Linked DNA regions of Saccharomyces cerevisiae S288C. The protein of the gene in region 1 binds, or shares a complex with, the protein of each later gene. Each region holds a gene or a part of one and is shown on either strand. Other genes may lie near its edges.

What was found. Proteins that work in one complex are often made in the same cells at the same time.
Region 2: MRP49 (region 1) and MRPL9 share a complex: the UniProt entries of both Saccharomyces cerevisiae proteins name them as parts of the mitochondrial large ribosomal subunit.

What each region holds. Positions count from the first base shown.
Region 1 is NC_001143.9:133,195-136,114, reverse strand, and holds MRP49 (mitochondrial 54S ribosomal protein mL61 MRP49), read left to right. Parts: upstream 1-1,980; coding exon 1,981-2,394; downstream 2,395-2,920. Other genes in the region: cAMP-dependent protein kinase catalytic subunit TPK3, read left to right, coding at 410-1,606; putative serine/threonine protein kinase KKQ8, read left to right, coding at 2,653-2,920. UniProt on the Saccharomyces cerevisiae protein: Component of the mitochondrial ribosome (mitoribosome), a dedicated translation machinery responsible for the synthesis of mitochondrial genome-encoded proteins, including at least some of the essential transmembrane subunits of the mitochondrial respiratory chain.
Region 2 is NC_001139.9:935,541-938,553, forward strand, and holds MRPL9 (mitochondrial 54S ribosomal protein uL3m MRPL9), read right to left. Parts: upstream 1,344-3,013; coding exon 534-1,343; downstream 1-533. Other genes in the region: exportin CRM1, read left to right, coding at 1-255; TOS2 (Tos2p), read right to left, coding at 1,584-3,013. UniProt on the Saccharomyces cerevisiae protein: Component of the mitochondrial ribosome (mitoribosome), a dedicated translation machinery responsible for the synthesis of mitochondrial genome-encoded proteins, including at least some of the essential transmembrane subunits of the mitochondrial respiratory chain.

The sequences.
Region 1 (2,920 bases):
TATATATATATGTACATATACATATATAGATTTATATGACGTTTCCGACGCATACTGGTGAACCACTTTCTTTTTAGTGAATAGCCTCATTATGCAGTTTCCGGTATTTTTTTTCCGTTGCTTCAGCTACGGGATTTCTTCGATGCCATTGAAAAATAAAGTTGTGTTCAATGAGAATATGGAAAGAAAAGACACTTTTTACCAGCTGATCTTAAAAGTTTTGTCTGCTTTATTACTTCTATCGGTAAGAAACTCGAGTGGACATACGAGACACTTTGTGCAGTCGTCGGAGAAAATTTATAGGCGATCACTCTTTAAGCAATAAGAAAGTTTCACGTATATTATTGAATAATACATTAATCATATTGTATATCGGTGGTTGTACAAGGAAAGAGCGAGCCTGCACAAAATGTATGTTGATCCGATGAACAACAATGAAATCAGGAAATTAAGCATTACTGCCAAGACAGAAACAACTCCAGATAACGTTGGACAAGACATTCCTGTAAACGCACATTCGGTGCATGAGGAATGTTCTTCCAACACACCCGTGGAGATAAATGGAAGAAACAGCGGAAAGTTGAAAGAAGAAGCGTCTGCAGGTATTTGTTTGGTTAAAAAACCAATGCTACAATATAGAGATACCTCAGGAAAGTATTCCCTAAGTGACTTTCAGATTTTAAGAACTTTGGGAACTGGCTCATTTGGGAGAGTTCACCTAATTCGTTCCAATCACAATGGGAGGTTTTACGCTTTGAAGACATTGAAAAAGCACACTATAGTGAAGCTGAAGCAGGTTGAACACACCAATGACGAACGCCGAATGCTTTCAATTGTTTCACATCCATTCATCATTCGAATGTGGGGAACGTTCCAAGATTCTCAGCAAGTTTTCATGGTAATGGACTACATTGAAGGTGGTGAATTATTTTCTTTACTACGTAAATCTCAAAGATTTCCCAACCCAGTAGCCAAATTTTATGCCGCAGAGGTATGCTTAGCGTTGGAATATTTGCACAGTAAGGATATAATATATAGAGACTTGAAACCAGAAAATATCCTTCTAGATAAAAACGGCCATATCAAGATAACCGACTTTGGCTTCGCAAAATACGTTCCCGATGTCACATACACATTATGTGGCACACCAGATTACATAGCGCCGGAAGTGGTCAGTACAAAACCGTATAATAAATCAGTGGATTGGTGGAGTTTTGGTGTGCTAATCTATGAAATGCTTGCCGGATACACTCCATTTTACAATTCGAACACCATGAAAACTTACGAAAATATACTGAACGCCGAATTGAAGTTCCCACCATTTTTCCATCCAGACGCGCAGGACTTATTGAAGAAGCTAATTACCAGAGACTTAAGTGAAAGGTTGGGTAACTTACAAAATGGAAGTGAAGATGTCAAGAACCATCCGTGGTTTAACGAAGTGATATGGGAGAAATTGTTAGCAAGATACATAGAAACGCCGTACGAACCACCAATCCAACAGGGCCAAGGTGACACTTCTCAATTTGACAGATACCCTGAAGAGGAATTCAACTATGGAATTCAAGGGGAGGATCCATATATGGATTTAATGAAAGAATTTTAAGGAGGTTCAGTGGGATAATTGTAATTGAAAAAAAAAAAAAATCAATAAAAGTAAAAACAAGAACAAGAAAAAGCACAAACAAACCTGGTTATAGATTCTTGGTGAGTCTAACAGGGCCATGATAAAAAAGTGACACATGCATATATGTACATGTATATATCTACGTACGTCTATTCAATAGAGGTGTATACAGATAAATAAAGGAGCATTCATATACGCCATATTGTGACTACATTTGCGTCCTCAGAAGACTGGGACGTTCAAAGTGATCTAGGACTTTTCACCCAGGGAAAACAGGATATCTGTAAGAATCGGCCATAAAACTCATTAATAGAAGAACAGTATAACATAAGTGAGCCTGCTACAATAAGAAGATGTCTAAGGTTGCACAACAGTTAAAATTTTTGAATAAAATTAGCGCCACTACCAGACTACCGCAGATTCTAGTCGATCCTAAAAAATACTCAGGTCTTAGATTGACTTTTCAAACGAAAAACCACAATGGACATATGGGTGCCAGAGTTTTTTGGCATAACTACCTACCCACTTTGCAGTTCTATAATCCAAGAATGAAGTTTGACGTGATAAGGATAAAGAACGAAGACAAGCAAAAAAGCGTTCCATGCAAACTGGAGATTTTATCTCATGAAGGCTCCGTTGTAGAGACTATTGATATGCGTAATAAAATGCATGAAGATATAATGAAAGACTTACTTGACAAAATAGAGCACGTTCCTCTTCCTGAAAATGAGATCATAAGAGTTGGACCGCAAGAAAGTATTATATAAGCTTTCTCTCGATAAGTTTGTTCATGTATATATCAAAAAACATTGCCCTTCATGGAAATATGTAAATTCAAAACTCACTTATGGGGCATATAAGTATATAATTTAGAGTACAATAAGTAGGATTGTGCTGAATATTGTCAGCCCTTGGGTCCCTTTTTTTGCCCTCCGCGTATTTCTTGTGGAAAATAAGGAAATTTCATTTTCACTTCAACTAGCTAGTTTAATTGCATGATGGACTCAAAAACATTGACAGCATCAATGGTAATGCAGGAGGAGAAGAAGCGGCAACAACCTGTGACAAGAAGAGTAAGGTCATTTTCTGAGTCCTTTAAAAACCTTTTCAGGCCGCCTCGTTCAAGAGATTCAAGTCCTATTAATGTCACCCGAATTCCTTATCGATCGTCTTCTACCTCACCCAAGAGAAGCTCTGAGCCACCAAGACGATCAACCGTATCCGCACAAATTTTAGATCCAAAAAATTCTCCAATACGCCAGCGTAGTTATACATTGAAGTGTTGCACCCCGG
Region 2 (3,013 bases), on another chromosome or scaffold:
AATGCATTCCCCCATTTAACATCCGAACAAATCGCAAGTTTTCTCTCTGCATTAACTAAACAATACAAAGACTTAGTGGTCTTCAAAGGCACTTTGAGGGACTTTTTGGTGCAAATCAAAGAAGTCGGAGGTGATCCAACAGATTATTTGTTTGCTGAAGATAAAGAGAATGCATTAATGGAACAGAATAGACTAGAGAGGGAAAAAGCTGCCAAGATTGGTGGGTTATTAAAACCTTCCGAACTTGATGATTAGAGGCGGTGGCGTATCATTCTTTAAATTTCCAATATTTTTTCCCTTTTATTAACTAGTCTCTAATTTATAACCACGGGGTTTTCATTTCTTTTTCACTTCATATTGTATGTAAATTGGTTCTTCAAAGTTCCAATACTCTAATATAGTACTAAATACTATTTAGCCAACTTCATGGAAAAGTAAAGAATATTATTTGAAGATTCTTAAGTGATTACCCATTTTATTGTTATTATTGATGTATGTACATGATTGTAGTAAAATACTTATACGCCTTATGCTCAAGTTTTTTTGATTGCATCTTGAATTTTAACGAAACTGTTTTTGGGCCCAGCCACAGAGCCTTTAACCCAAATAACATTATTTTCATCGTCGACTTTCAAAACTTTAACATTTTGGATAGTAACATGCTCGTTTCCCATATGACCAGGCATCTTTCTTCCTGGCAGTACCCTACCTGGGTCTTGGTTTTGACCATAAGAACCACCGTGTCTATGCATAATAGATGTACCATGAGATGCTCTCAAACCCTTGAATCCATACCTTTTCATCACACCAGTAAAACCTTTGCCTTTGCTGACTGATCTGACGTCAACATATTGGCCTTCTTTGAAAAAAGAGGGTTTCAATAATGTGCCAGGTGGTATTAATCCCTTTTCATCTTTAACTCGGAATTCGGCCACATGCTCTTTTGGGTTAACAACTTTAGAAGCGAAATGACCAAGCATTTGTCTGCTAACTTTAGACAAATGCCTTGATCCGTACCCTACTTGACACGCGAAGTACCCATTGACCTCCGAAGTTCTATGCATTATTACTTCAACATTATTAACTTCTAATATAGTAGCGGCGCTTCTTTCACCAGTAGATTTATCAAAATAAGGCATCATTCCCTTCTTACGAGTAATTAAACCGCATCTTTTTGGTAGCCATTTTCTCGCATTTGCCAGTTCAGGTGAGTGATTAATCGCTGGAGCCTCGGTTGTTATACTGTTAGCAATACTAGGAGCCACTAGAAAAGGCCGAGTAGAAGAATATCTAACATGAAGTTTTGATATGCTAAATATTGATCCCTGTAGGAACTTCGACATGGCTATATTTGTTCTCTCTTGCTTTCAAAGAGTTGCCCTTTCTCGTCCCAGTTGTCAATTTATCGTCCATATATTTTTCAATAAAGTTCGTTTGACAAGGGATTACCCGAAAACAAATATCTCGCGACTGTAATAGGAGAAATGGCATTAGCATTTCAATTAAGGAAAGAAGAGGATCATCGAGAAACGAATTTATGGTGCTTATTTACTGTTACAACATTTCATGATTTTGAATTTTATTTATACATGTACATTCTCGTACGGTGTTATTTCGTAATTATGGGATGTGCCCAGTTGCTTCCTTAAGTCTTCCGTAGAAGCTTTAAAAGGTAAGATTTCCCCCACACTAGGAGGCTGCAAGATGTCAGTGTCATCCAATAACCCACTAACACGGAAATTTATTGCATTTGACAACGTTGACGGCGGTTGTGATAAAGAAGATGATGTTGTAGTGGATGAGTTACCAGGGAGATATTGGGCCTTTATTAAATTTCTTAAAGATCCTGCAGGCTTATAGCGAGGTTTCATAGAAAGTTCTGATGGGTTGGTCATAACAACACTTTGTCTAAGCTGATATGGAAGGGGCGTACAAAATTGCTTTGTCAAAGATGTTGACGGTATTTTCGTAGGCGAACTGTAAAACATTTCAGGATGATCCATTGGATTCAACGCTGTCCCATTAAGCCTAGCTGTAGGTACATGTTTTAGTGTTTTTGGAGGTTTAGGCCTTCCTTTGAATGACGTCAAGGAATGCGAAGAGGTGGAATAAATGAATTGGGTAGGCGTGGGCAAATCTCCGATGTTCTCATAATTTTGAGGATGTTCTAACGGGAGGGGATAATTATAGTAGTAATTGTCATCATTGCTCTGGTTGCAGTGATCTATAAAATATGTAGAATATTGCTGAGCAGAAGTAAGATTTGACTGACCCGAACCCTCCGAAAGGGCCCGTACGGGAGCCTTTGCAGAGTGAATATGGTCCTTAGCGACCGTGTCAGAATATATTGATGAGGTAATTCTCGTTGAAAGACCATTCGGTGGTGGGAATGTAAGAGATAGAGACGATTCGGGAATCACTTTTTCTCTGGTTGCTACTTCTGAATATACTGACGATGCAATGTTTTTATTCTCTTGTGGTGCCGGCACTTGCAGATAATCAGTTGCATCTTCATATTCCTCATTGGCGCTGGAACTGGAATCAATTTCTTGGACAGTTGTACTTCCGAAGTGACTCTGTTCAATTAATGTAGTATCATTTGGATTGTCTTGAGAGCTCATATTTACACTTTTTCTTGTAGCGATGTTTAATTTAGAGTCACGCCGTATCGAAGAAGTTACAGAGGATCGTATCGTGCTATTACTTTTCTCAAAATAAATGTTATAAATGCTTCTTATTCTGTCAATATTTTCTTCCTCCTCTCTCGAACACTGAGGCTCGAGCCCGCTACGACTCGTATAATTCGATTTAAGTCGATTATCGTTGTTATGGCTGGACTTTTCATTTACATCAGGATTTGACGTACTATCACATCTTTGATCACAGTCTTGCCCAGTATTTGAGTGTTGTGGTGAAACAATCAGCTCAGAATTCTCTAACGATTCGAAAGAAATCTTATTCGAAAGGTCAATGTGCTTGGAGGGGACCGATAACTTGCTGTTATTCTGCGAAG